Linked DNA regions of Stegostoma tigrinum. The protein of the gene in region 3 purifies or fractionates together with the protein of the main gene of each other region. This does not show direct contact. Links are inferred from orthologs where the notes say so. Each region holds a gene or a part of one and is shown on either strand. Other genes may lie near its edges. The genes, in order: unconventional myosin-VI, sugt1 and lrch3.

What was found.
Region 1: the proteins of lrch3 (region 3) and unconventional myosin-VI purify together in Homo sapiens (co-immunoprecipitation; 3 studies listed by BioGRID and IntAct, with this or other methods). This does not show direct contact. The link is inferred for Stegostoma tigrinum from reciprocal best matches to the Homo sapiens genes LRCH3 and MYO6.
Region 2: the proteins of lrch3 (region 3) and sugt1 purify together in Homo sapiens (co-immunoprecipitation; 3 studies listed by BioGRID and IntAct, counting the BioPlex papers as one, with this or other methods). This does not show direct contact. The link is inferred for Stegostoma tigrinum from reciprocal best matches to the Homo sapiens genes LRCH3 and SUGT1.

The regions. Positions count from the first base shown.
Region 1 is NC_081362.1:28,016,007-28,026,605, reverse strand, and holds the start of unconventional myosin-VI, read right to left. Parts: upstream 4,736-10,599; 5' UTR 4,608-4,735; intron 1-4,607. UniProt on the Homo sapiens protein: Myosins are actin-based motor molecules with ATPase activity. Unconventional myosins serve in intracellular movements. Myosin 6 is a reverse-direction motor protein that moves towards the minus-end of actin filaments.
Region 2 is NC_081359.1:6,871,976-6,882,635, forward strand, and holds the start of sugt1 (protein SGT1 homolog), read right to left. Parts: upstream 4,338-10,660; 5' UTR 4,252-4,337; coding exon 4,238-4,251; intron 4,142-4,237; exon of another isoform or gene 4,141-4,141; coding exon 4,092-4,140; exon of another isoform or gene 4,081-4,091; intron 1-4,080. UniProt on the Homo sapiens protein: May play a role in ubiquitination and subsequent proteasomal degradation of target proteins.
Region 3 is NC_081367.1:48,774,026-48,784,578, forward strand, and holds the start of lrch3 (DISP complex protein LRCH3), read right to left. Parts: upstream 4,978-10,553; 5' UTR 4,963-4,977; coding exon 4,698-4,962; intron 1-4,697. UniProt on the Homo sapiens protein: As part of the DISP complex, may regulate the association of septins with actin and thereby regulate the actin cytoskeleton.

The DNA.
Region 1 (10,599 bases), on a different chromosome or scaffold from region 3:
AACCAAGAATTTTTCTTTTCTAAAATATAGAAAACAGAAAGAGTTCTTGCAAAGAGTTGGCAAGAACTGCCAATGCCGGAGTCAGAGATAACACAATGTGGAGCTGGAAGAACACAGGCCAGGCAGCAGAGTAGTAGGAAAGCTGACATTTTGAGTCAGGAACCCTTCTTCAGAAACCTACTTTTGAACCCAGATCAGGCAAATTAAAAGCTACCCAAATCCATCACTATGCTTAATCTTGTTTTAGTTTCTTTTTTGTTCATTTTGCAAAAAAAGGAGAAAAAGTAAAATGTCATGATTAGTGCATACAACACAAAAGCATCATGCAATCACTAGAGTCAGTGCCTGGGACTCCAGGTGCATTGTAAAGGCCAACTCTGATTGTTCAAAAGATAACCTAAAAAATAAAGGAAATATTTCTCAGAGTTATTTTATTTTCCTGAAAGAGAACTCAAAAGATACTCCTCATAACATGCTCCAACACAGAAAACCAATAGAGACAAAATAAATCACTTCATTATATTTTGTCTGTCCACCAAGTATTACTTGATAGCTCAGGGTAACTGCAGCATTTCTACATATAATGTTGCAATTGCAAACTATAATTCCAAGTATAAGTCTATTACACTCTGAATAAGGACAGATATATTATAAAGTTTGAATGTTTCCAAAGTTTTTGCCCTTTTGAAACATGTAAATGTTTATACATTTACATTAAAGTCATGATCACAATACTTAAGATGACAAGGTGCAGAGCTGGATGAACACAGCAGGCCAAGCAGCAGAGGAGCAGGAAAGCTGATGTTTCAGGCCTAGACCCTTCTTCAGAAATGCATTTATTTCATAATATTTATTTTGGGATTGCTATACATTACATGGAAATACTACAGCCAGCACTCCCTGTAGAAGGAAAAATGGACACCACAGTGTGGTGTGTCTATCTCAATCATCTATTTGCAATGAATTTGCCACACCAATGCTTTCTATGGTAAACCAAAACGAGGAGCATCCTCTGAAATTTTGTTGCTGTGGCTACAGTTAAACAAAGAGGAGAGGATTTTTTTTGGTACCAGTGCCCTCCCAAATTAATCAAGCCCCATGTTATACTTGAGGTACAAATCAGCATGAAGGTCTAAGTGATTGAAGCAAGGTGGATGGAGAGCACTACCTTCATTGTTCTTGTTTCAGGTCAGCGATTACAGAATGAGGCTGTATTACAACAGAATCAGTGTTAAATATATTCATCTTTACTCCAGGTATAGTGTGATTAACAGTATGCTAGCCATGGTTCAATTACTGGCATTCTTACTTCTGGGTTTAAACAAAAATTGTAGATTCAAGACTCATTTTACTAGTCAATAGAAAACAGCTTAAAAAAAAGTGTCAAAAAAAAAACCAACTTCAGGAAACAGTCCAGACTGGCATTCAGCACAGGGAGATACGTCTTTCAGTTGAGACTTCAAGCCTAAAATGCACTTTCCCTTCCAGAGTAATGTAAAGGAATCCATGGCATTAATCAAACAGCAGAAGAGTTCTCCCCAGTGACATAGCGAGCATTTATCCCTTATTTATTTAAAATACATTGAGAGAATTTGTGCATAAATTGGATGCAATGATACAACATTAATGCACAAAAGGCAAAAGTGCAAATCTTTTGTGCGCACCATGAATTGTGTGCAGGTTAACTCAATTAATTATTCCAATTAACGGAGAACAAGATTTTGCTACTTTGGGGTGAGAATACAAGTTTTAGCCATGCGTTGAGACTGTGATTTGCACCATCCTCAGATCAGCCATGTTATTGATGTGAACAAATAGACAGAAAAAATATAGAAAATTGGATAATATCACATTACAATGGTCTTTATTAATTATTTTAGACGCAATTCAAATATACACATTAACCTCATGTTACAAAGTCTGCAATACAACACAAGCTTTTAAGAATGAAATATCAGAGTGTCACACTTCAAGTGGATGGATTCAAATTTTTTAGTTCTTCATTTCTTTCATTCTGATGAACAGAACAACAGGTATTTAGATTGGTACTACTAGGACTTAAAAACACTATATATATTTTTTAGAATGGGCAGCAGTGAAATCTCTCACATCATGAACCAATTTAAAATGTATTCTAATCACTTATTAGTAAGCAGGCAATCTTCTTTTTGTGAATTATAGAAAATCATTAGCCTTCAAATCTCCATGACAGCAGCGACCAGACTGCATCATCTATTAAATAACATAACATCAATTCTATTATTTGAACATATTCAAACATTCAACTACTTTATTTATAAGTTGAATCTTACTTGTGTCACCTCGCTAAACCTAAACATTTTCTAATCATGTACACATGACATGACATCTGCAGTCATTCCGTGATATCATTCCTTTCATTTTCCCATTCCAAATCAACGTCTCAATTTATCAACAAATCATCTATTATTTTAATGCATCAGTGCATGCCTCAATGAAACTGGAAGGCTTGTGGAAGAACCTGTGTGTTAAAGTCTTCCAGTTCAAAAAGGCACGCATAAATGAACCGTTGATGTTACCTTCTTTTAACCTTACATCAAATACTTATTTTCAATTGAAAACAGTGCACAGTACATCCTTCTGCAGATTCCACCTCTTATCTTGTGTAAAAGGTTTGCACTGGTTATTTTACAGCTGTTCAGAGACGTGTTCACTAAAGTAGTGAGGTATTTATAAAATATCCTTTGATTTTATATTATAGGCAGCACAATTTAGTTGTTTCAACTAGTACCACTAAACCACCTTTAGAATCCATACACCTTAGTTGAACAAAATAATCACAATTGTGACCATATTCTATTTCAATATTTACATAATATAATTTACACAAAATAATATACTGCTCTGGAAAAGTAACAGCAATTTATCATACTATGATATTTAATCCAAGTCAAACAAAAACTGCTCACAACCAGAGATATGAAAGTTGGTCAATCAGTTCCTGACGCCAGATTATTTAATGTAGATTTAACATTTACTCCATAAGTGATGCACAAATTAGTTATTTACAAAGATAAACAAATCCAATCACATTATTTGCTGCTTCAAACAAAACCTGTTAAAAACAGGTATCAGGGAGGGATTGAGCACGTTAGAATTTCCTCAAACCAGAAAACAAAGCTCCATTTTCCCTTGCAGTTCTGTGTGGTACCTACTCTTCGTAAACCTTCGCCGACTGAGGATAACCCAAAACTAAAACAAGCTAGATATCAGAAACAGGACCCTCGCCACAGGAAACTATATAAATGGTTAATAACGTTAAACTTAAAAACTTTTGGAGAATCCCTCAAAGCACGGACTAAAATAGCATTTCATCAGGAACGATTAATAGCTAGGAGGACAAGAAAACATTCACCAATCACGCAGAATTTTGATAGGTCAACCATATGAGAAAAGACGTTTAAAATGTTGTCGTCTCACACTCCCGGTAGTACAAATTGATTACGATACGCACAGAGAACAGCAATCTCACTAGAAATATCGATGTTGATCAAACAGTATCTTGTTTGATAAAACGGAAGAACTGCGGACGCTGTAAATTGGGGCCCAAATAAAGTTGCTGGAAAAGCTCAGCAAGTCTGGCAACATCTGTGAAGAAAAGTCAGAGTTAATATTTCAGGTCTGATCTCATATTTCTCAGGAAGTAACCGGACCCGAAACTTTAACTCTGATTTGTCTTAACAGATATTGCCAGACCTGAGTTTTTCCAGCAACTTATTTTCGTTCGATATTTTGCGTGAAGCTGTTTTGATAAGGAAGCAGCGTATTTATTGTAAGCGCGAAGGGAGAAAAACAACATTTTCGCTTGGTCCATTAATCTACTGTCTGTTCAACTTAGACGCCACCATTCGGAAATGGGGCTGTGCGGATCAACAGAGATTTAAACAAGGGCAGTACAAGCGAATAAGAAAACAACCAGCTTAAAGGCGAAACTATTCGAAATATCGAAACGATAATACCCAGTCGAAATCGAAAGCGATTTAAATATAAAGACATTCAGGAATGGAAGCAGCTGCTGGTCATTCAACAACCAGAAAACAACCGGGAAACAACCAGACAGGATTCCCACCTAGCCATTTTCCGGGGGAATCTCTAGTTTCCTGCACGAAACAGGATACAGTCCGAAAAGGGCTCCGGGAGAGGTCATAAAAACAAACTCAGCTCACAGCTCTCTTCGGGACTCGAGCAGCCCGAATCCATAAGTAGTTCGGAATCGACATAACTCCCTACCTCCTTCCTTTCACTGAGAGAATGGGCCGGGAACACTCAAACAGGGAAAGGACTCTCTACAAACCCCAAACCCCCACTTTTTCCTCCATCCCGCTCCACCCGGGTATGGAAAAGACTCTTCATCCAAACTAGTTCCAGTTGAGCGGTGGATCCGGTCGTGGCGTCCTTTCCACAACATCTTACCATGGAGACCAGGCCCCTGGTACCCTAAACCCTTCAACCTCACCCACTTTCACTCCTAAAACACCTACCCACAATCACTGCACAGTTTTCCCCATTCGCTGTCAACACGCCCGACCCTCTTACTCATTTAACCTCAGTCGCCCCCCGACTCTTACCGTCAACTGTTTACCAGTGCCGTTGCAGAAAGTCTGTTTCCCCTCGATAGCCACAGGACTCGTCCTGGTGCTCCTCCCCTTTGTTCCCGCTGCGTCTCCAGATCCTGCTCAGTCCTAACGCTCCTCCCCCTGCGCGGCTCCCGGTGCTCCGCCTCTTTCTCTACCCCCGCCCATACCCGCTGTGTGGCTAGATCCTGCCCCCAGCCCTAGTGCTTGCTCCTCCTAGTGTGGATCTTCGTGCTCCATACTCCCCCCGACACACCCACCCACCTGTGCCCGGTGTGGGTGCCGATATTCCTGTTCTCCGTCCCTGTGGTCCTGGTGATCCGATGTTCGTGGCCCTGGGACGATCAACGTCACGGTGATGGCCCTCAGAGACGGAGAGGCCCCCAGTAACACAATGAACACGGTCAGTGAGAACACATGATATGCACGGTCTGTCAGATACTGCAGAGAACAGCGCCTTTCATCGTAAGGGCATCCCAAAGACTTTCACAATTAACTTTTCAAAAATAATCCCGCTCATAGCGAGTTCACTGTGCCTGCCCACTGTCTACAATCCTCTAGTCAGGAATGTGATATTGGATGGGTGCAGCTGCAACATCACTCGAAGCTCAACACTATTCAGGACAAGATAATAAAATGTGAGGCTGGATGAACACAGCAGGCCAAGCAGCATCTCAGGAGCACAAAAGCTGACGTTTCGGGCCCCAAGATGACATTCCACATTAAGCAGAGGTTCACCTGCACATCTGCCAATGTGGTATACTGCATCCACTGTACCCGGTGCGGCTTTCTCTACATTGGGGAAACCAAGCGGAGGCTTGGGGACCGCTTTGCAGAACATCTCCGCTCAGTTCGCAACAAACAACTGCACCTCCCAGTCGCAAACCATTTCCACTCCCCCTCCCATTCTCTAGATGACATGTCCATCATGGGCCTCCTGCACTGCCACAATGATGCCACCCGAAGGTTGCAGGAACAGCAACTCATATTCCGCCTGGGAACCCTGCAGCCATATGGTATCAATGTGGACTTCACCAGTTTCAAAATCTCCCCTTCCCCTACTGCATCCCTAAACCAGCCCAGTTCGTCCCCTCCCCCCACTGCACCACACAACCAGCCCAGCTCTTCCCCCCCACCCACTGCATCCCAAAACCAGTCCAACCTGTCTCTGCCTCCCTAACCGGTTCTTCCTCTCAACCATCCCTTCCTCCCACCCCAAGCCGCACCCCCAGCTACCTACTAACCTCATCCCACCTCCTTGACCTATCCCCTCCCTACCTCCCCACCTATACTCTCTCCACCTATCTTCTTTACTCTCCATCTTCGGTCCGCCTCCCCCTCTCTCCCTATTTATTCCAGTTCCCTCTCCCCATCCCCCTCTCTGATGAAGGGTCTAGGCCCGAAACGTCAGCTTTTGTGCTCCTGAGATGCTGCTTGGCCTGCTGTGTTCATCCAGCCTCACATTTTATTATCTTGGAATTCTCCAGCATCTGCAGTTCCCATTATCTCTGATACTATTCAGGACAAAACAGCTTGCTTGTTCAACACAACATTCACCATCTTAAAAATTCACTTGCTGAACCGTCAACAAACAATGGCTGAACCATCAACAAACAATGGCAGCAGTGAGTACCATCTACGAGATATATCGCAGAACATTAACCAAGTTTCCTTCAATCCATCTTCCGAACAGATAACCTCAGCCACCTAGAAGGAACGGAAAAGCAAATGCCTGGGAACACCAGCACCTGCAAATTTTCCCCTAAGACATGCCGTTCTGACTTGAGATATCTCACCATTCCTTCACTGCTGCTGGCTCAAAATCCAAGAACACCATTCCTAATACCTGCAACAGATAGACTGCAGCCATTTAAACAGGCCGCTGATTAAGTCAAGTAATTAGAGATGGGCACAAAATTCTAGCCTAGCTAGTGGTGTAACATACACTTAGTGCGTAGAAATATTCTTCAAACAACACTGAAATTAGGATCAGATAAGGATGAAAGACATAGAAGCATTTGGGACATTGTGTTCACTTTGCCATTCAATCAGATCATGGCTGATCTGATAATCCTCAACTCTATTTTCCGGCTTCATTACCATGATCTTTGATTTCCTGACTGGTGAAAAATATGCCTGCCTTAGCCTTAAATATGTTTAAAGACCCAGCTTCGACAGCCCTTTGTGGTGTAAAGAACTCCCTGGAGTGATTACCCTCAGAGAAAAAGTTCTCCTCATCTCTAATTTAAATGGCAACCTCTTATCCTGAGATTATGCCCTCTAGCCCTGGATTGTCTCATGAGGGAAACTATCCTTCAAGATCCCATAATCCTATATGTTTCAATAAGGTCTCTTCTTCTAAAGCCCAGTGAGTACAAGTTCGACTTACTTAACCTCTTGTCGTAAAAAAGACCCTCAATACCCAGAATTAACCTAGTGAACCTTCTCTGGACTGTCTCCAATTATTGTATCTCGCGTCTTTAATAAGTGGACCAAAAATGATCACAGTATTCCAGATGTGGCCTGAACAGTGCCTTATATGGTTTTAGAAAGACCTCTCTATTTTTAGAATAAAGAACTGCAAATGCTGGAGACCTGAAACAAAAGTAGGAAGTAATGGAGAACTCTGACAAAGGGTCACTGGATTCAATTCTGATATTCTCTCCACAGATGATGCCAGACCTATTGAGTTTCTCCAGCATTTTCTGTTTTTGTTCTCTATTTTACATGCCATTCCCTTAGAAATAAAGCCAATAGTGAATTTGCATTCTCTTTTACCAACTGAACAAATGAGTTAGCTTTTTGTGATTCATGTCCAAGGACTCCAAATCCGTCTGTTCTGCACGCTCTGCAGTCTTTCCCTATTAAATAAAATTCAGCCCTGTTCTTCCTCCTGCGAAAATGGATAATCTGCAATCATGTTCCATTTCCAAATTTTGGCTCACTCACTTAAATTGTGGGCTCATTGTGTCATCCTCACTACTTGCCTTCTCACCTATTTTATGTCATGTACAAACTTGGCAATAATACATTTACTTCCTTCTTCCAAATCATATACATATAAATAATTGTGGCCTTAGCACTATTCCCTTTGGCACTCCAGTTGTCACAGGTTGCCATCCTGAAAATGCTCCTTTTATCCCAAATCTGTCTTCAATAGTTAACCAATTCACTATCAATACTAACACATTACTCCCATCACAATGAGCTCATCTTATTAAGTAGCCTTATGTGTGATACCTTATTAAATGATAATCTGTTTCATTCATGTTAGTTGATGGATAAATATTTTCCAAGAATTCCAGGAGAGATTTCCTTTGGTTCGTCAAAGTGGTATCATGGGAGTTTTACCCATGATGGCAGTTGGGGCCTTGGTTTAACATCGCAGCAGTTAGGCTACACAGCACTCCTTCAATACAGTATTTGTGTATTGAACAGTATTTTGCACTCAAGTCCGTGGAGTGGAACTTAAACCTTAACCTTCTGATTCAGAAACAACAGAGAGCTACATTGAGCTTCAATTTGTAACACTCAAAATAGTACTATGTATCCTGTATCACTGCCACTAGTGTGATGATACTATGGCTTTAAGAGGTACATTTTGTCCTTTTTGTTTTGAAGACATGTTTTAAGACAGAGGTATCAAGCTGTCTGTTTGAATCCAATAAATTAAACAGCTTGTGAGGCACTTTTTTTAAGTTGGAACAATAAAAGCAGCCTGAATGGCTGGGGTCAAGCTTCCACAGAACCAGGATTTTTAGTTTTAGCTTGTAGCAGTTGCTGGGGTCTTGAAGTTGGGTTTGGAAGCTGCAGTACATCTCTCCCTGCAACTTGGTCTCTCTCTCTCTCTCTTAGGGTTTTGTCTTGATGATTTTCCTGCTGGATTAGAGAATTGCATGTGAGACAATCTATTTTACTGAATTTTCCTTTGCTAAGAGTGTGTTTATGAGATGTTACTATGTTGAAACAGTCACTGTTTCGTAGTTAAATAATCTATTATTCTGTTAAGTTTTCCAGCATAATTACGTTATTTCAATTTTTTTCTTCCTTTGGTAGTATATTAATTACAGTGTATAAATGAAATGTGTTTTGCTTCAAGACTAGAAGTTTGACCAATCGAATTAGATCTGTAACACAATACCTGGTACTTGAAATAAGAAAAAGTTATGGTCTAGGCTATCGTCTTAATATATCTTGAAGGGCTTTAGTCTGATCCATAACACTGGGAATGATGCACCACATGCTCTACCTCTGACAGCAATTCATTAGTAAATGTAGGCAAACCTGAACATCCTCCAGGATTGTGCTAATACATTCTAGATTCATTTTCATTTTAAAGGTACAATGCAAGTAACATTTGCATCACATTGTTGCCAGGTAATGGCCAACTTCAACAAAAAATCTAATCCATCTCTCCATGATCTATAATCTTATTATCACAGTGTCCCTCCCCATCAATATCCTGTAATTACCACTGACCTAAACTCAACTGGACCAATGAATAAATGCTGTGGCCACAAGAACCAGTGGACATTATGCAAAAACAGGTTCATCTCCTGACTCCTCAAAACATTTCTACTATCTGCAAAGAAAAAGGAAAGAATGAGGTAAAATATATTTCACAAGATGAATGACATTGCAACAATATCCAGGAAACACAACACTGTTTAGGGCAAAGCAGTCATCCGTGGCTGGCACATCCATTATTTAAATGTTCACTCAATGTGCACACACACAGCCCCCCACACTCCAATCTCTCTGGGCACTCTGGTTTCAGTGTCATTTACAAGATACACAACAACAACTCACCATGGCACTTCCCACAGAACCAGCCAATCTCATGAGATTTATTATCTGGAAGGAAAGTGACAGCAAAAGCAGTGGAATACAACTACTTACAAGTGTTTTTCTAATCATCCTGATTCAGAAATACTTTGTTATTATTTAATCATTGTCTAGTAAAATTTCTTAAAGTACAACACTTGTACCAGGCCAGGCAGCATCAGAGGAGCAGGAAAGCTGATGTTTTGGGTCTGGACCCTTCTTAAGAAAACACTTATAGCACTGTGTAAGTACCTTCACCTCATGGACTGCAATAATTCAAGAAGGCAGCTTGCCATTTCCATCTCAAAAACAACTAGGAATGAGCAACAAATATTGGTTTTGTTAACAATGCTCACACTGATGAATGTCAACAGAAGTGATGTAATACATCCATTGTATCACCACTGCAAATGTTGTATTACATCTTAAAAGCACTGGGAATGTGAGAACCCTTATGTCGAGCAATGCCTATAATTTCTTTTGTGAGGTGTACCTTTAAGACTAAAATTAATCAAGAGTGTATGCTGAAAGATTATTAATTTGTTAGGATGAGTTTCCAATAAATGTCCATGACCTGTGGTTGCTATGGGGATGAACAGCTAAGAAGCAAACGGTTAAAAGAAGTAAATTGCAGTGGATAATAAAGTGTGAAGCTGGATGAACACAGCAGGCCAAGCAGCATCTCAGGAGCACAAAAGCTGACGTTTCGGGCCTAGACCCTTCATCAGAGAGGGGGATGGGGTGAGGGTTCTGGAATAAATAGGGAGACAGGGGGAGGCGGACCGAAGATGGAGAGAAAAGAAGATAGGTGGAGAGTAGAGTATAGGTGGGGAGGTAGGGAGGGGATAGGTCAGTCTGATCCCCAGTTCTGCATAAGGGTCACTGGACCTGAAATCTTGTTTTTGTTCCTGATTCCCAAAGTCTTTTATTCATATATAAAGAGCAAGAGGGTAACTAGAGAAAGGATTGGCCCACTTAAGGACAAAGAAGGAAAGTTATGCACTGAGTCAGAGAAAATGGGTGACATTCTTAACAAGTACTTTGCATCGGTATTCGCCAAGGAGAGGGACATGACAGATGTTGAGGTTAGATATCGATGTTTGCTTAGTCTAGGTCAAACAAGTAATCACACATTAAGCAAAATGTGACAAGAAAGGGAGAT
Region 2 (10,660 bases), on a different chromosome or scaffold from region 3:
GTCTCTTAACATCTTTGGAGAGAGAGAGAGAGAGAGAGAGAGAGAGAGAGTGTGTTACTGTTTTGGGTCCAAAGACTCTTCCAGATGTGAACAAGACTGAACTGAAAACTTTAACTCAGTTTCTCTCTACACAGATGCTGCTGGACCAACTCAGGTTCTCCTGCACTTTCCAGTTTTATTCCAGAGTTTAGGTTCTGGACAACAGTCATGATTTCTTTAATCTTGCAAAGATCATTGATTTGAAACATTTTTCCTCAGGTCCTCTCTAAAATTGAGTTTCTACAGCATTTTTTGCTCTTATTTCAGACTTTCAGCACCTGCAAGATGTGTTTTTGTATTAATCCTTAAAGTAACATTACTTCTTTTTTGAGGAACCTCTAACTTAATTTTTACCTTGCTCTTCCATATTGTTCGATTCCTACTTCTGTATTCATATTCGATCAGATAGCTAACAAATCCTAGAGCCACAATGCCTTCTTCAGTAATTACCTCCAAATTCACATTATTTTTCACCGATTCCAATTTAATTTGCCAGACAAGATATCCAGAACTTCGAACTGTCATACTTGCCACACGCCCAGACCTGTTTTACTTCCATGTATTGTTGCATGTAATCATTCACTCATCCCATTTCAAAAGGTAAAAAGGGGGCATTAATAATTACAGCCTTAAAATTGGATAAATCCCCAGTCCAAACAAGATGTATCCTAGGGGCAACAGAAGATATTGCAAAACTGCCAATATTTTCAAATTTTCTGTGGCTGCAGAAGTGGCAGAGGGCTGGAAGACCGACAGCATGGTGCCATTAATTCAAGGTTAAGTATAAACAGGTTACTGTAGACGAGCGCGTCTATCAGTGGAGTGAAAACTTTTAGAAAACATTGAGGTCGTCTCAACACGGACCGGATTAATCAAATCAGAAAGTCAGGATGACTGTCAGGAGAACACATCAAACAAACTTGATTGAATTTTGAGACTGCTTAGGTGTGTGGGAGGGTTGAATAGCAATTCAAGAAAACAGCCACCTTCTCCCAGATAATTAAGAGTGACAAGACTGTAGATGCTAACACAGCCTGCAACACCCACACCCCATGAATGAATAAAAGAAAACCTTCCCAAAAGTTGAAAACTTTATGAACGGCAAAGTAAATAAAGAAAACAAAAGAACCGGGAGTAAGTCATCTGGCCCTTCAAGCTTGCTCCGTCATTCAATAAGTTCATGGCTGTTCCACTTATCTACCCTCTCAACACAATGCTTAATTCCTTTACTATTCAAAAAAATTATCTACCTCTGTTTTAAAAATATTCAATGAGGAAGCCTCAACTATTTCACTGGGCAGGGAATTCCAGAGATTCACGACCCTTTAGGTGAAGAACTTCCTCCTCAATTTAGTACTAAATCTTCTCCCCCTAATTTTGAGGATATGCGCTCTTGTTCTAGTTTCTCCCACCTGTGGAAACAACCTCCCTGATTCTATCTTATCTATTCCCTTCATAAATTTTATACGTTTCTATAAGATCCCCAGTTATACTTCTAAATCCCAAAAAATATAATGGCAGTATATTCAGCCTCTCCTCATAAGCCAACCCCTTCATCTCTGAAAACAACCTACTGAATCTCCTCAGCACCCTAACCACTGCGAGTACATCTTTTCTCAAGTAAGGAGACCAAAACTGCACACAGTACTCCAGGTGTGGCCTCACCAACAGCCGATACAGCTGCAGCATAACCTCCCTCCTTTAAACTCAATGCCCCCAACAATGAAGAACAAAATTATATTTCCCTTCTTAACTACCTGCTTTACTCTTTTTTGTTTTATAAATTTATAGAAACTTTTGCTATCTGTCTTTATATGCTGAGAGAGATTTCTGAGACTAAACTATCTTACTTTTCTTTATAGCCTTTTGTGGCTTTCTGTTGAACTTCAAAGTTTTCCCAGTCTTCTAGTTGCGCACTGGTCTTTACCCCTTTGTACGCCTCGTCTTTCATTCTGATAGCCTCCCTTGTTTCCTCAGACATCCATGACTGACTACCACTTTTCCTACAGTTTTTCCCATTTCCTCGGCATATACTGTTGCTAAGTACTTTGAAAAATTGCATGCAAAGTCCTCCATTGCTGCTACTGTCCCACCACAGAGCCTTTACTTCCAATCTACTTGAGCCAACTCCTCCCTCATCCTATTGTAGTCTCCTACATTTAAGGACAAGACTTTGGCACTGAATTTTATGTTCTCACTTTCCATCTGTACTCTAAATTCAACCATACTGTGATTGCTTCTTCCAAGAGGATCACTAAGATGAGATCATTAATTATCCCTGTCTCATTACACAGGACCAGACTGAGGACAGCTCACTCCCACGTCGGTTCCATTTCATATTGCTCAAGAAAGCTATCGTGAATATATTCAATGAACTCCTTCTCAATTGCTGCCTTGACCAACTCGGTTCGACCAATCAAGATGTACATCAAAACCTGCCGCGATAATTACTGTACCATTTTTACAGGCATTAGTTATTTTGTTTATTGCCCATCCTAATGTGATGTTATTATCTGGTGGCTTACAGACTACACCTATCAGTGACTTTTTCTTACAATTTCTAATTTACAATATCCTTTCATTGTCCTGTGGATTCCATTGTAGAAGTACAGTGAAAACCTTCACAATGTCTGTCTGATGACGACATCTTAGGCGCAAGTACCTGGATGCAATTCTTGGATATAGCAGAGGATTAAAACTAGTTGCATTACTTAAAGTTAAAAATAAGAAAATATTAAAAAGGTTAACATTGTAGTAAGGTAGGTAATTTTGAACAGACATTTCAGCACAAAGCACATGGTCCAACCATGTGTCACACCCCAGTCCAACAGCAATGCCCATTGCACTCCAAACCGGCACTCAGCTGCTCCGAGGTTAAGTGGTAGGATTACCCCCTTGCACTTGCCTCTGTCCATAACTTGTTGCCCATGTGCTGCTGCAAGGCTGCTGGACTCAGCCTTATTCTCCACAAAACCTAAATCTCTCACTACTGCCCTGATGTCACCCTTAAAAATCAGAGTAACACCACCTCCCTTATGTTCCTGTCTGTCCTTCCGAAAAGTCAGATGCCCCTGGATATTTAATTTCCAGTTGTGACCATCCTGCAACCACGTCTCAATAATGTCTACTAAATCATACTCATTTTCAATATTTTGACCAATAAATCATCTACCTTGTTTTGAACAGTACATTTACATAAAGTACCTTTATGTTGGTTTTTATACCCCCTTTGTGAATTCTAACATCACCACTAATATCTCCTGAGTTTTCCTTCCTCTTAACTTCCTTCAGTCCTCAATGTAGTTAAACCCTCCCACATAAAATTTTAACCTGCTGTTTCCTTTTCTATTTACCATTATACATCCTGCAATTTCCCCTTACCATCCCATTTCACTAGCTTAAAGCCCCAATGACCACCCCGTCAATGATTCCCGACCGGTTCGAGTGGAGATCATCCCAGAAGTACAGGTCCCTCCTATTCCAAAGCCTATGCCAATGCTCCATGAAATGGAGTCCCTCTTTCCCACACCACTCCTTTAGCAACACATTTACTTCCCTAATGTTAATTTATCACGTATATTCATGATACGCAGCCAGCGAGATATTACAACAGACGACTAAAAACTTGTCGATGGAGCACCCTTTAAAATTACTATTCAGGAACGCCTTTCCTAACAGTATTGTGGGTGCATCCACACCACATGGACTGCAGCAGTCCAAAGAGTCCAAGCTTCCAAACAGAAATAGGTAACAAATACCGGCCTTGCCAATTACTCCCACGCACCCACCAGCAGAAAAACGAAATCGGGGACCTGTGGGAAGGAACGGCACAGGCACGATGGGCCGAATGGCTGCAAGTATAACATTTGTGGCACTCTGGTCCAGTTTCACGGCATGAACCATGCTGCACCCGAGTTCGGCCCCACCTCCACATGCTCAAGGACCGGGAGAAACAGGTGCCTTTCCGAACACTTTACTCCCCCCAACACTGGAAACTTAACAGGCCGAAGCGGTGGGTTTGAGAAACAAAAAAAAACAAACCTTTCACTCACCTCCAGTGCTTTCTCCGGACACTCCGCGATGAACTGGTCTGTAATGACTCTGACAAAACATCATAAAACAAACAGATTTTTTTTAAAAAAAGGAGCGTACATGAGCCGAAAGCACACTTGAACAGCGAACACAGCACACAACTCACCGCTCTGTCGCCATGTCGTCGTCGTCGTCGCCGCCGCCGCTTTAGAAACTTCTGGAACAAGGAGCCGGGAGGGAGCGCCACCGCCAAAGAGTCAGCGTCAGAGTGCAAGAGGAAACCGCCGCGCCTGCGCACGCGGCGATTGACGCCATCTTTGTAAAGGAGGGTTTGACGTCGAAGGACCACCGCCGTTGTCTGACGCTGTACCTGAGGTTTACTCCTGAGTTTCAGGGCTGCTGAATCATCTGGCGAAGGGAGTGCAGTGGGGCGAATAAACTAAAAACAAAGACAAAAAAATGGTTAAAGAGAGAGCTCAGAAGAGCCAGGAGGAGACATGAGAAGTTGTTGGTGGATAGGATCAAGGTAAACCCTAAGGCTTTCTATAGGTATTTAAGGAATAAAAGAATGACAAAAGAAGATTAGGCCCAATCAAGGATAGTAGTGGTAAGTTGTGTGTGGAGTCAGATGAGATAGGGGAAGTGCTAAATGAATATTTTTCGACAGTATTCACTCTAGAAAACGACAATGTTGTCGAGGAGAATACTGAGATACGGACTACTAGACTAGGTGGGATTGAGGTTCACAAGGAAGAGGTATTAGAAATCCTACAGAGGGTGAAGATAGATAAGCCCCCTGGGCCGGATGGGATTTATCCTAGGATCCTCTGGGAAGCCAGGGAGGAGATTACCAAGCCTTTGGCATTGATCTTTAACTCGTCATTGTCTACAGGAATAGTGCCAGATGACTGGAGGATAGCAAATGTGGTTCCCCTGTTCAAGAAGGGGAGTAGAGGCAACCCTGGTAATTATAGACCAGTGAGCCTTACCTCAGTTGTTGGTAAAGTGTTGGAAAAGGTTATAAGAGATAGGATTTATAATCATCGAGAAAAGAATAAATTGATTAGGGATAGTCAGCACGGTTTTGTGAAGGGAAGGTCGTACCTCACAAACCTTATTGAGTTCTTTGAGAAGGTGACCAAGCAGGTAGATGAGAGTAAACCGGTTGATGTGGTGTATATGGATTTCAGCAAGGCGTTCGATAAGGTTCCCCACAATAGGCTATTGTACAAAATGCGGAGGAATGGAATTGTGGAAGATATAGCAGTTTGGATCGGAACTTGGCTTGCTGAAAGAAGACAGAGGGCGGTAGTTGATGGAAAATGTTCATCCTGGACACTAGTTACTGGTGGTGTACCGCAAGGGTTGGTGTTGGGTCCACTGCTGTTTGTCATTTATATAAATGACCTGGATGAGGGCATGGAAGGATGGGTTAGTAAATTTGCAGACGACACTAAGGTCGGTGGAGTTGTGGATAGTGGCGAAGGATGCTGTAGGTTGCAGAGAGACATAGATAAGCTACAGAGCTGGGCTGAGAGGTGGCAAATGGAGTTTAATACAGACAAGTGTGGTGTGATGCACTTTGGTAGGAGTAACCAGAAGGCAAAGTACTGGGCTAATGGTAAGATTCTTAGCAGTGTAGATGAGCAGAGAGATCTCCATGTCCATGTACACAGATCCTTGAAAGTTGCCACCCAGGTTGACAGGGCTGTTAAGAAGGCATACAGTGTTTTAGCTTTTATTAATAGAGGAATCGAGTTCCGGAACCAAGAGGTTATGGTGAAACTGTACAAAACTCTGGTGCGGCCGCACTTGGAATATTGTGTACAGTTCTGGTCACCACATTATAAGAAGGATGTGGAAGCTTTGGAGAGGGTGCAGAGGAGATTGACTAGGATGTTGCCTGGTATGGAGGGAAGGTCTTACGAGGAAAGGCTGAGGGATTTGAGGCTGTTTTCATTAGAGAGAAGAAGGTTGAGAGGTGACTTAATTGAAACATATAAAATAATCAGAGGATTAGATAGGGTGGATAGGGAGAACCTTTTTCCTAGGATGGTGACGGCGAGCACGAGGGGGCATAGTTTTAAATTGAGGGGTGAAAGATATAGGACAGATGTCAGAGGTAGTTTCTTTACTCAGAGAGTAGTAAGGGAATGGAACGCTTTGCCTGCAACGGTAGTAGATTCGCCAACTTTAGGTACATTTAAGTCGTCATTGGATAAGCATATGGATGTACGTGGAATAGTGTAGGTTAGATGGGCTTCAGATCGGTATGACAGGTCGGCACAACATCGAGGGCCGAAGGGCCTGTACTGCGCTGTAATGTTCTATGTTCTATTGCAGATGAGACCAAAATTGGAAGCGTAGCACAACGAAGAGGTAACCTCAGGGGTACATTAGGATCTTGATCAGGTGGGCCAATGGGCCCAAGAGATGGAGTTTAATTGAGATAAATGTGAGGTGCTGCATTTTGGATAGACAAATCAGGACAGGACTTATACACTTAATGGTAAGGTCCTGGGGAGTGTTTCTGAACAATGAGACCTTGGAGTGCAGGATCATAGTTCCTTGAAAGTAAGAGTCGCAGGTCAACAGGACAATGAAGAAGGTACAAAAACAAAGTTGCTGGAAAAGCTCAGCAGGTCTGGCAGCATCTGTGAAGGAGAAAACAGAGTTAACATTTCGGGTCTGATGACCCTTCCTCAGAACTTAGGAAGTGACTTTGTAGAGCTTCCTCAGTTCTGAAGAAGGGTCACCGGATCCAAAATATTAACTCTGTTTTCTGCTTCACAGGTGCTGCCAGACCTGCAGAGCTTTTCCAGCAACTTTGTTTTTGTTCCTGATTCACAGTAGCAGTAGTTCTTTTGATTTTCAGTGAAGAAGGTATTTGGTATGCTTGCCTTCATTGGTTAGTGCATTGAGTATAAGAGATCGGGGGTGGTCATGTGACAGCTAAACATGACATTGGTTAGACCACGTTTGGAATACTGTGTTCAGTTCTGGTCACACTGCGATAGGAAGGATGTTGTAAAACTTGAAGGGGTTCATGAACAGATTTACGAGGATTTTGCCAGGGTTGGAGGGTTTGAGCTGTAGTGAGAGGCTGAATAGCCTAGGGCTATTTTCCTGGAGTGTCAGAGGCTGAGGGTGACTTTATAGAGGTTTATAAAATCATGAAGTACATGAATAGGGTGAATAGCCATGGTGTTTTTCCGAGGTTAGGGGAGTCCAAAACTAGAGGACATAGGTTTAAGGCAAGAGGGTAAAGAGGGGCAGTTTTTTACACAAAGAGTGGTGCATGTGTGGAATGAGCTGCCAGAGGCTGGTACAATTACAATATTTAAAAGGCATCTGGATGGATGCATGAATAAATTTAGAGTTAGATTTAGATTTTATTGCGACATGTTACTCAAGCACAGGAGTATAGTGAAGTATAATATCACCACACAAGGCCCCGCCTTAGGTATCATGGTGCCTGGGTACAAAAAACTTAGATACAAAGTAGTAAGAAAAGCATTTAAAAAGTTAAGCATTACTTCACAGAATAAATAGAAAAATACAGAAATAAGGTAGTAGTTAACATTAAAGTCTTTCCTAATTTAAACTAGGAAAATAAAGGAATAAGATAACAGTCAGTAGAAGGAGTTTAGAAGGGTATGGGCCAAGAGCTGGCAAATGGGACTAGATCAGTTTAAGTTATCTAGTCAGTGCAGATGAATTGGACCAAAGGATCTGTTTCCGTGCTGTATTACTCTATCGGGATTAGCACATTTTCTTCTGAAAGAAGGGCCACCAAATGCCCTGTGTAGTTCATTTAGAGGGATATGAACTAAGAACAGGCAGATGGAGTTAGATTAGGAAGCAGAGTTAACATTTCCTTTTATAAGGGAGACACTGGATCTGAAAGGTTAACTCTGCTTTCTCTCCACAGCTGCCTCCAGACCTTCTGAGTTTCTCCAAAACTTTCTGTTTTTGGCCCAAGTAAACTGTTATTGTGCCATCAATTGACATAGAATTGCCTGGTTCACAGGATGGGGCAAACTCTTCCATGCTGACCATGGCGCCCGTTCAGCTAGTTCCAATTGCCTGCATTTGGTCCATATCCCTCTAAACCCTTCCCATCCACGTACCTATCCAAATGTTTTTTTTCATGTTGCTCTTGGACCTGCCTTAACCATGTTCTCTGGCAGCCCATTCCATATATGCACCATTCTCTGTGTGAATAGGTTGCCCCTCAGATCCTGCTTAAATCTTTACCCTCTCACCTTAAATCTATGCCCTCTAGTTTTTAATTTTTCATTCCTGGCAAAAAGAATAAATGCATTCATCTTATCTGTGCTCATCATGATTTTAAGCACCTAAATGTGGTCACCCCTCACTCTCCTACATTCCAAGGAATAAAGTCCTATCTTGGCCAACCTCTCCCTTTAACTCAGACCTACCAGTCCTGGGAACATCCTTGTAAATCTTCTTTTGAGCACTTTGCAGCTTAACTATGTATTTCGTGTAACAGGGTCTACACAATACTCCAAGTGTGGCCTCACCCAACAACTTATACAATTGTACCATAATGTCCCAATTCCTATACTCAATGCCTTGACCGATGGAGGCCAGCATGCCAAATGCCTTCTTCACCACCCTGTCCACTTGTAATACTGCTTTCAACAAACTCTGTATTTGTACACCCAAGTCCCTTTGTTCCACAATACACCTCAGGACCTTATCATTTACTGTATAAGTCCTACCTTAGTTTGACTTTCCAAAGTGCAACACCTCACACTTAGCAGTATTGAATTGCATTTGCCGATCTTCAGCCCACTTCCTCATCTGATCAACATTCGTCTGTAATTTTTGATAACCTTCTTCGCTATCAATGATATCTCCTAATTTTGCAAACTTACCAATCCTGCCTTGTACATTCACATCCAGATCATTTATGTAAATAAGAAATAACAAAGGTCCAAGCACCAACCCCTGTGGTACACCACTAGCCACAGGCCTCCAGACTGAGAAATAACCATCAACCATCATCCTCTGCTTCCTACCATCGAGCCAATTTTGAATATAATTAGCTACCTATCATTGGATCCCATGCAACCTAACTTCCATGACCAGCCTGCCGTGCAGGACCTTGTTGACGGCCTAAGTAAAGTCCATATCGACAATACCCACTGCCCTACCGTCATCCAACCTCATGGTTACCTGTACAAAAAGTCTGAAAGATTTGTCAGATGTGACTTCCCGCACACAAATCCACGTGACTATGTCTTATGAGACTTGACTATCCAAATGTTGGTTGGTCCTGTCCCTCAGTATCTTCTCCAATAAGTTGTCTACCACTGATTTCAGGCTCACTGGCCTGTAGCTCCTTGGCTTGTCTTTGCTACCTTTCTTAAGCAGGAGAATAACATTAGCCACCCTCCAGTCTTCTAGGACTTCACCAGTGGCTAATGATGAAGCAAAAACCTCTGTAAGGGCCTCTGCAAATTCTTCCCTAGCCTTCCACAAAATCCAGGGATAGATTTAATCAGGCCCAAGGGATTTATCCATTTAATGTGTGTTAGGGCTGCAAGTGCCCCCTGGATGGTAATATGTATGTGCTCTGAAACATCCCCACTCGTTTCCCTTATTTCCTTAGCATCCATGATCCTTTCCTTAGTAAACACTGAGGAGAAATGTTCATTAAAAATCTTCCCCATCTCCTGTGGCTACATGCGTAGTCAGTCATGCTGAACTTTAAGGGTACCTGTTCTTTCCCGGGCCACCCTTTTACTCTTATTACAGCTTTAGAACCTTGTGGCATTATCTTGAACCTCATATGGCCAGATCCGTCTCGTATCCTCTTTTTGTTCATCTCTTAAGTGTGCTCCTACACTTTTTATAGTAATCTTGGAAGTCACTTGAGCCTTATCGCTTAAACCAAATGTGTGCCTTCTTCTTTTTCCCGAACAGAACCTCAATATCCCTTGTCAGCCAGGGATCCCTAAACCTACCAGCTTTTCCCTTCATCCTAACAGGGACATACTGTCCCTGGACTCTTGATATCACACTTGTAAAAGCCTCCCACTTGCTGGTTATTCCTTTACCTTCAAACAGATTCACCCAGTCGACCTCTGCTAGATCCTGCCTAATGGCCCCAAAATTAGCACTGCTCCAGTTTAGCATCTTAACCTGTGGGCTTGTCTTATCTTTTTCCATAACTATGTTAAAACTAAGAGAGTTATGGTCACATATTGGAAGACTGCGAATGTACCTATTCAGCTACAGGAAGAGTGCACAATTTCCATCTGATCATGAAGACAAAAAAAAAACAGTGGCACGACTCTGGGGAGGAAAGGGACATAGGATGAGCTGAAAAGCTCTTATAGAGAGCCAGCACAGACATGACAAACTGAGTGGCCTGTTATATAGTAACATGTGCACAATCTGACATGCAGGAGGAATGGGTGGTCATTTCTGGAATATCTAGACATGCCAGAATGATATTGGATCAGGAGGTAGTTGGTGCTTTGTAAAAAAGGTCATAAAAGATCTGTCACAAGTTTGGACTACAGAACGTTAAATTCTGTTCCCTGTGTGACTTTGTGAC
Region 3 (10,553 bases):
TGAGCAACCCTCTATGACCACCCTCTTCTTCTACAATCAAGCCAATTTTGTATCTAATTGGCTACTTCTCCCTGGATCCCATGCGATCTGACCTTGCTGATCAGCCTACCAATTCCCCAAGTGAAAAAGCATTACTGAATTATTTAATATCAACTCCGGGAGCTTTTTCACTCCATGATGCTCTAGAAGCCAAATTTACAAGTCATCATTTATATAAATGAATTGGATATGAACACAGGAGGTATGATTAGTAAGTTTGCAGATGACACCAAAATTGGAGGTGTAGTAGACAGCGAAGAAGGTAACCTCAGAGTACAATGGGATCTTCATCAGATGGGCAATGGGCCGAGGAGTGGCAGATGGAGTTTAATTTAGATAAATGTGAGGTGCTGCATTTTCTAAAGGCGAATCAGGGCTCAGGGCAGGACTTATACACTCAATGGAAGTGGGTCCTGGGTAGTGTTGCCAAGCAAAAAGACCTTGGAGTGCTGGTTCACAGTTCTGTGAAAGTAGAGTTTCAGGTCAACAGCATTGCAAAGAAAGTGTTTAGTATGCATGTCTTTGTTCATCAGTGCATTGAGAGGTCATGTTGCACCTGTACAGGACATTGGATAGGCCACTTTTGGAATACTGCATGCAGTTCTGGTCTCCCTGTTAGAGGAAGCATGTTGTGAAACTTGAATGGGTTCAGAAAAGATGTACAAGGATGTTGCCTGGATTGGATAGTTCAGCTTTAGGAAGAGGCTGAATAGACTTTCAATGGAGCATCAGTGGCTGAGAGCTGCTCTTATAGAGATTTATAAAATCATGAGTGGTACTGATAGGGTAAATAGAAAAGTTCTTTTCCCTGGGACAGGGGAGCCCAAAACCGGAGGACACAGGTTTAAGGCGAGAGTGGAAAGATTTAAAAGTAATCTAGGGATCAACTTTTTCACGCAGAGGGTGATGCATAAATGGAATGAGCTGCCAGAGGCTGGTAGAATTACAACATTTAAAAGGCATTTGGATATATAAATAGTAAGGGTTTAGAGGAATATGGGCCAAATGCTGGCAAATGGGGCTAGATTTATTTATTATATCTGGTCAGCATAGGCACGTTGGACCAAAGGATCTGTTTCCATGCTATACAGCTCTATGACTCAAGTCCTCTGTAGCTGTATTAAACTGAAGCTCACAGTACAACTCTTGCACAAATTAAGCCCTATTTGAGTCAATGGTGTGACAAGTCAATTAAAGCTGTAATCCTTTACACGAAATGAGGACCTAGATCTTCCGAAAGAAAGACAGTTGCTGCAATAGTTTAGCTGAGAGTTACATGTCTGGACGACGTGGAAATTCCAACAAAACTGCTGAAACTGCTGACAGGCAATTACCGAGCAGCTGAAACCCTCTAAAAAAAGGTCCTAACTCTGTTAAATTGGATGGAGGTTTGGAATGATAATATTTTGAATCTTAAATGAGAAACCATGTTTCTCACATGATACTCATGCTATAAAGAGTATAGAAGCAGAGAGGTGCATGGAGTTCAGAACCAGATCAAATCAAAATCAGAGACCAACATAATTAAATTTTAAACAGGGCACAGAGTACATTTAGTACATGACAAAAATAAGTGAATCAAAACACTCGTCAATGGCTTGTAATGTCAATTTCTGCATGCCTTCTACAGAAGGTAATGAAGCCAGCACATAGGGGGACTGTAGTCATCATGGATTTCAGACCAAAAAAAATGTCGAGAGAAAGTGGAATTCTTTTCATTGCAATATAAATAAAATAGCATTGTTCAAAATTGAGATGTTTATGGTAAATTGGAAAAATGAATTTCTCCAGTCAAGCGACAAATATTATACAAGCACAAAGAATATGGATTTATTTTCTCTATGCAGAGTATTGATTGGAAATGAAATGTCTACCACTAACAGTAATGAATCAAGTGATTATTTTTAATAACTTTTAAAAACAACGTGGACAAATTTGTTGATATGGATTAACAAACTACCAGAGAAAGTGGTAGAAGTGGGTGCAATTGCAACATTTAAAGACATTTGGATAAGTACATGGCTAGGAAACGTTCAGAATGATATGGGCCAGATGCAGGCAAATGGGACGAGCTCAGTTGGGTAACCTGGTCAGCACAGAAGTGTTGGGCCAAAGGGCCTGTTCAGTGCTGCATGACTATGACTCTGACTCCATAACAGAAATGAAGTGGGATTAAGTTGTTAGCTCTTTCGAGCCAGTGGGTATAATTTTCCAAACAGCCACTTATCATTGCAAAAGATTTTCAGATTCTACCTGCAGTTTCAACCACATGGCCCGCTTCAGGTGATTATTACTAACTTCACTTAGTTTATGAGAGCTAATTGTACACCACAGTTGTAATAATATCCAATGACAGAAGTGGTCAGATAGCATCACAATTTCATGCATCCTTGTTTAAAGCCAAATATCAATCACCTTTTCAGAAAATTTCCACCTGGCCCAAAATGCAGTATGAGGTGTCACTCCCTGCTAAAAAATCACTCTATCCTTATCAAGCTTCATTATTCACCTAAACCCTATCAGTCAAGGGTCTTGTCTGTAATTTCATGGTTTTCTCCCTCTTGGTCAACTTACATAGGAGTGACACTGCAATTTTCCAATCCAAGTAATCGTCCCTGAATCAAGAGGTGTTTAGATGTTCACAGTTTCGGCACCTGCAATGTTCGCAACAAATTCCTCTAAAATCCTGAGGTGGAAATCACCTGGCGCTTGGGATACCACTCTGACTTTATTACATTAATTCTCTGATTTAATACAAGGATTTTTTTGGAATTAGTGGGATGCCATCCTTCTCTTCCTTGGCTATAAATAATAATGTCAAATAAGTATGCAACATGTTCCCCCCTTTCTTTGTTTTAATTTAAAAAGAGTCATAATGGCACAGAAGCAAGCCATTTAACTCAGTGTGTCAACGAAAGCTCTTTATTCAGCAACATTTTTCTTCTAATCAACCTGTTAAGAGATGTTATTACACACCTCTGGAGGTGGTGAGGCTTGAACCTTGGCCTCCTGGTACAAGGGTAGGGGCAGTACCACAAGAGGATGCCCTAAGACAGAACATGGTCTCAAGAATTCAATCATCTCATCCTCCAAAAATCGCTGGATTACAGGTGCATGCCACTAATGCAGTCAATCCCATTGACCAATTTCCTTTTAAAATCATTGATCATATATTTTCAGCTCATCCACAAAGCTCTTAACAGTCTTTTTTGTAACATAATTCTAAAAATATTTGCAGTTTTAGTGGCATTTTATGCACATCTTTGACATTTCTATTTTGTAGTTCTTACTGGCTGCTTTGTTACCTTCTGCTGTTCTTTACATTTCTGAGTCAATCAAATCAGTTCTTTTTCTTCTGCATTTGTGCACTTAACCTTTTAGCTTTAGTTTTCTGTTTTGACATCTATGGCATTTTCTAAACAAGTATCATTTATATAAATGATTTGGACGTGAACATAGAAGGTATATTTAATATGTTTGCACATGACACCAAAATTGGAGATGCAGTGGACAGGCAAAGGGTTTAGAGGGATATGAGCCAAATGCTGGCAAATGGAACTAGATTTATCTAGGATATCAGGTCAGCATGGTCAAGTTGGGCCAAAGGGTCTGTTTCTGTGCTGTACATCTCTATAACTCTAAGTCGGCCTCTTCCCTAGACTGTATAAATAACTTGTAATCATGTCGTTTTCAACACTGTCCAATGAGCTTCTATCATTTCATCCAATTATGAATTTACCCAGCTACTGTAGGGCAGTCTCTCTTGTAAAATATAACTAATCAAAGTTGGCATTTTTTACCCGTAGAGTATTTGCCAATGTCATGAAAGCCACCAGAGAAAAGCGGGTAGAATCACGGCATTGCTAACGAGCCTTAAAAATCTGAAGATCCGGTTCAATAAACCAGATACTGACTTAACTGTAATGTTATTATTGATTACTATCATTGTATCATTCCAAACATTAATACTCCTGACAATCGTCTGAAATCCGGAGGTGAGACTGGGCTTATTGGACAGATCGGCTGGATGGGTTAAATGATATTTATGCATGACTGATTCAAGAAAACGTTCAGTTTCGTCCAAGTACACAGGAGGAAGAATTGGAAAAATCATGCAAGGGACGAAACAGAATAGGTGGTTAAAACCGCAGGAGTAGAAATAAGTGCCTAAAATTACACGAACGACGGTTAATGCAACATTTTAAACAAATGAAAAGTAGTATGGATTGTTGGCTCTTCCCTGCCTTCAGCTGGATCGGTGTTTTGACTCTTCATGGTCCGACACAACAATAAATCTACCATGAACGATACAGATGGAATCAATCCAGAATTACGCTTCTGACGTTGTGAAAATTACATTTTGTCGTAACTTAATTTCAAAGTACTCAGGCACGAGCACCAAAAACAGCAAATTACTGCATCACCGGTTAGTGACCAAGGGCGGAGTCAGAGAACCACTGACGAGCGACCCTTGGTGTCGCACGCCTAGGTCTCCACCCGTGCGCGTGTCCCAGAGCTCGGACACACGAGCCACAGCGCTGCTTGTGCACGCGCCGCCCCGTTTAAATTACATTGGTCACCTCCCAAAACATTTCCGTTGGATCTAAGCTGCCATCGCCCTGGCGAAGTAGGCTGCCCGAGTGCGTGCTCTCCCTTACCCGCCTGCGTGGTGTCCGTCAAGTCCTGGTTCGCCGCGCTCCTGGGGAACTCCTTCAGTTTCCTCCCGCTTAAGCTCAACACTCCCGTCGCAGCGGCTTCCTCCAACGCTCTCTCTAGACTCCTGTTCCAAGGCGGCTGGACCGATCCAGAACCATTGTGACCACTACCTCCTCCCCCTGCCTCGCTGAATGCGTTCAATCCGACACCACCGCCTGCAATCCCGAGTTGACACTCCGACATCACCATCGTCGACACCGTCGCCATTACGAATCCTTGGTCAATACTGCGCAGGTGCGAACAGCTGGACAAACCGCGCGTGCGCGCTCAACGGTCAATGTGACCGGTCCGTTTGTTGGGCTGTCGGCGAAGTGCATCTTATCGGAGAGACGTATACAGTGAAAGTAGGAAATGCCCGATGGTGGAGAATCTGAGAATGACAAGGTGTAGAGCTGGATCAACACATTGGGCCAAGCAGCATCCTGCTGCTCTGAGACGTATATAGTGTCTTTTTAAAAATTGCAACTTGCATGATTCGTGCAACGTGATTCACTTTTGTTGAAAAAAACGAGAGCAGGTAGGATATCCATTTCAAGCCTAACGACTCCCACAACTACCTAGAATACACCTGCTCCGACCCACCTTCCTGCAAAAATGCCATCCCGTATTCCCAGTTCCTTTACCTTCACTGCATTTGCTCCCAGGATGAGGCATTACATTCCCGGACATCCCAGATGTCCTCGTTTTTCAAGGACTGCACTGCAACTCCACCGCCGCCCCCCACACTCACCCGCCGCTGATAATGCCCTCGATTGCGTCTCCCACATTTCCTGCAGTTCATCCCTCACACCTCTCCCCGCGATAACAACCAAAGCAGGATTCCCTTCGTCCTCACGTACCACCCCACCAACCTCAAGATCCAACGCATCATCCTCCGACACTTTAGCAATCTGCAATCCGACCCCCCCACCATCAAAGACAATTTTCCCTCCCCACCCTTGTCTGCTTTCCGGAGGAACCACTCTCTCCGTGACTCCCTTGCCCGTTCCACGCTCCCCTCCAGCCCCAGCACACCTGGCACTTTTCCCTGCAACTGCAGGAAGTGCTACACCTGCCCCCACACCTGCTCACTCACCGCCATCCCAGGCCCCAAGAAGATTCCACATCAAGCAGATGTTCACCTGCACACCTGCTAATGTGGTATACTGCATCCGCTGTACCTGTTGTGGTCTCCTCTACATCAGGGAAACCAAGTAGAGGCTTGGGGACCGCTTTGCAGAACACTTATGCTCAGTTCCAAATAAACAACTGCACCTCCCATTTCAACTCCTCCTCCCATTCCTCAGACGACATGTCCATCCTGGGCCTCCTGCAGTGCCACAATGATGCCACCTGAAGGTTGCAGGAACAGCAACTCATATTCCACTTTGATACCACTGGGCTGCAGGGTTCCCATGTGGATTTTACAATCTTCAAAATTTCCCCTCCCCCCACTGCATCCCAAAACCAGCCCAGCTCATCCCTGCCTCCCTAACCATCTTCTCACCTACCCCCTCCTCCCACCTCAAGCCGCACCCCCATTTCCGACCTACTAACCTCATCCCACTCCCTTGACCTGTCTGTCCTCCCTGGACTGATCTCTCCCCTCCGTACCTCCCTACCGACACTCACCTTTACTGGCCCCATCCCCGCCTCTTTGGCCTGTATGTCTCCTCTCCATCTATCGTCTCCTCTATCCATCTTCGATCCGCCTCACCCTCTATCCTTATTTATTTCAGAACCCCCTTCCCCTCCCCCATTTCTGATGAAGGGTCTAGGCCCGAAACATCAGCGTTCCTGCTCCTAAGATGCTGCTTGGCATGCTCTGTTCATCCTGCTCTACACCTTGTTGTTCCAGACTAGCAAACATTGTCTAAACAGAATACCTACAAAATTCAGTCCAGAAACAATCAGATGTTTTCCTTTAAGTGAGTTCAAATAGCCAAGCCCAGAAATTTTGTAGCATCATTTTTCGGGGTTTCCAAGAAATGCCTTGTGTTAAAAAATTTTCATGGGTCTTTTCATTGACCTTACAAAAAACAATTTCGGGTATCTCAAAGATCCTTCAAAATCAAATGCATAATAATCATGAATTTTTTTAGATTAGATTCTCTACAGTGTGGAAACAGGCCCTTCGGCCCAACAAGTCCACACCGCCCCTTGAAGCATCCAACCCAGACCCATCCCCCTATAACCCACACACTCATGAACACCACGGGCAATTTAGCATGGTCAATCCACCTAACCTGCACATCTTTGGACTGTGGGAGAAAACCGGAGGACCTGGAGGAAGCCCATGCAGAAACGGGGAGAATGTGTAAACTCCACACAGACAGTTATCCAAGGCTGGAATCGAACCTGGGTCCCTGGTGCTGTGAGGCTGCAGTGCTAACCACTGAGCCACCCTGCCGTCCCAACCATTTTCATAACACAGGCTGAGAGACTGTCCTATATTTTGTAGACTACAGTACGATGTAGGAAAATATGAGAATATCCAGTTTGGTTTGAAGAATAGAAAAGTAGAATATTGGGATTGTGGACTTGCTCACCAAGCTGTTTGATTACAGATGTTTCAACACCCTGCTAAGTAATATCATCAGTGCACCTCTGATGAAGTGTTGGTGCTTTGTCCCGCTTGTTATTTATATGCCTTTATATAACAAGTGGGACAGAACACCAGTGCTTCACTGGAGGTGCACTGATGATGTTACCTAGCAGGGTAATGAAATATCTGCAATCAAACACACCAGCTCGGTGAGCAAGTCTACAATCTCATCCACAACCTGAGCTACAATTCTTCTCAAACTTTCAATTTGAATAATATTTAAGTGGAGAGAGATACAGAACTTTATGGTTGAGGATTTGGGTATTTTTGTATGTGCAATACAAAAAAAAGTATGTAGACACAAATGAATTGGCAAGACCGATGCAACTTTTTTTGTCAGTTATCCCTTGAATGAAGGATGACATCTACTCAGGAAAGCAAGTTTCTGCCTTGGGTCTTTGTGTGACTGAAGAGGTTGCTTCTTGACCTACAGACCTTTGGATACAAGGGACAGGAAATCCCACATGGGAGAGGAATCTGGAGTACACAATTTACTTCCTTTCTTCTGCTTCTCTGCAACAACTCTGCTTCATTATTAAAATATTTGAACTCATAAAGAGCCATTACTGTCAATGTTGCCATGCTTTAAGAAGAGCTTCAGAGTGTTTTTGTAGAGTTTTCACTCTCCCCATTGGAATGCTGGCCATTTGAATTTTAGGAGAAAATGACTTCAGAAGAGAGACACTTGCAGCCATTTGGTCAGTGTCTAGTCATCATAGTTGATTTTACCTGAATGTTTGTCAAGCTGGCCTCATGAGGACACCAGCTTTTGTTCAATGATCCTCCGAGTGAATCCAGAGAGTGCGGCACAGGCACTGCTGATGAAATTTGTCTTGTGTTATTATGTATCACTGATACATGGCATCAGTCTCACTGCAGTACAGGAGTGTGATAATGACATTGCTTTTAATAAGTAGTGAATATCTTTTGTTGTCAAATACACATTGTTGTAATTTGTTGAAGGCTGAAATGGTAGAGTTTGGATAGCAGGGAGGATTTCATCAAGGTCAGAGTAGAACGTCTCTTTTCATACATTGATCTGAATCAAGGGTTTGAGATATTCAATTCATGGCTATGGTACATCATTTTATGGATGAACTGGAAGTGTTGTGTAACGTGCCTTTCATTTGTACAATTGGATAGTTGTGGTAGTTTATCCAAGTGTTGCAACTGTGAAAACCAACTCCATGGATATCAGAGTCACTGTCAGTTCCGCTTTCAGAGTAGACAGTATACAACCTGCTTCTTCTTTCAGCTGTCCCTGACCATCAAAGCAGCGGTGTCAATTTGGAGTCTTGATGGTACATGTGATATGATTGCAGTTCTTCTTATAGTCACTCCTAAGATTAATCGCAAATGATATAAGATTCCAAGTTGTAAAATTTTAGTTTTAATTTTCTTGATCACAAAGTTGGTGATCCTGCATAGTGGAGTTCCCCAGCCAGGAGAAAGTGGGACGGTCTATTCTTGTGGCACTGTTTCTATTCCCTTCTGTATTTGGGGAGAACAGAGGGTATCCAGAAGAGGACTGCTTAGTCACAACGATGTCCAACTTGTGTGCAGATTCTTGACTAAAGACTCCCAAATTCACAGTCCTATCTGGGACTTGGCAAATGGATCCTTATAGAAGCCTGTGCAGTCCACATGATCTTGATGGGTTCATGGTCAGATTGCAATGATGTACCACAGCAATCATGACCTCTTGGCCACTGCAGCCTTCACAGCCAGTGATATGTAGTCTTCCTTCACCTGCTTTGCATTGAGGACTTTCTGGCATCTCGCCTTTATCTCTCACCAAAATCAGTAACCTTACCCAGAGCAAGAAGCATGACTCAAACATCAATGGAGCACACAGGCCTCACCACCATGTCAAAATGGAGATCTGTGGAGGAGGTTGCCTTTCTTGCAAGGAGAAATGGAATGCAGGGCATTGCTGAGATCATATTTAGTATACTATGGACGGTTCATGCCTCCTTATTTGAGGACGAATATACTTTCATTGATGTCCTTACATTAATCCGAGGAAAATTCATGGGTTTGAGGCCTAGTTTAACAAAGCAGCACCATGATTGCACAAAATTAGTCTCTACCAGGGGAAATATGGTTGGTTAATATAGACCACTTCACTAAATAATTACTGATGAAGAAGATATTTCATCCACCTTAATTTATTCAGCAAGATGTACCATACAGTCACCTATTTAAGCATTTAATTGTTTAAATCAGCCTGTCTTAGTTCAGGGTCTAGCTTAAAATCCAATAAAGTCCAGTGGTTTTTTTTTTAATGAAGTAGCTCTTCCTGTTGTTAATTCTTTAGTTCCCCACTGGTTTGTGAAATATAAGTACTTAATGTGTGGTCAGACAGGGTACTATACAACTTCCTATATTTTGGTTTGATGACTCAGTGTAGTATTGGCTATATTATCTGCTACTCCACATTGTTGAGCCTGTAAAATCTCCGAAGTCCTTCATTTATTTCAGCACTATCCAGAGAATATGTGTCTTGACTTTCTTTCTTTCTTTCTTTCTTGAGTGCAATAATTTGCACTTCTCTACGTTGAATAGGTTGGTCAAGGGAGAGAAAGTTCTGCTGGTGGTAAACTCTAAAACTATCAGTCAGAAAATAGCAAAATTGATTAAATCCAACAGGGAACGAAGAGCAGAAGGCCATTTGGTCCTTGCAAAAATTCAGATAAATTTCTTTCCTCATTGATTAGAATGTGGAACTCATCATGGGAAGGCAAAGCTGCAATAATAAAAAAAGAACATGTGTATGAGAGAAAAGGGAATAGAAAATTATACTGCAAAACCCATTTGAGGTAGGAGGCGATTCAGACAGTCGAGTTATGCTGAATTACTTGTTGGGGTGATTATATTCCTATTTAATTCTGTACAAGGCAAACATCAACTACAAATGAATAAAGCTCACCAATATAATAGTGTGAAGCTGGATGAACACAGCAGGCCAAGCAGCATCTCAGGAGCGCAAAAGCTGGCGTTTCGGGCCTAGACCCTTCATCAGAGAGGGGGATGGGGTGAGGGTTCTGGGATAAATAGGGAGAGAGGGGGAGGCGGACCGAAGATGGAGAGAAAAGAAGATAGGTGGGGAGGAGAGTATAGGTGGGGAGGTAGGGAGGGGATAGGTCAGTCCAGGGAAGACGGACAGGTCAAGGAGGTGGGATGAGGTTAGTAGGTAGGAGATGGAGGTGCGGCT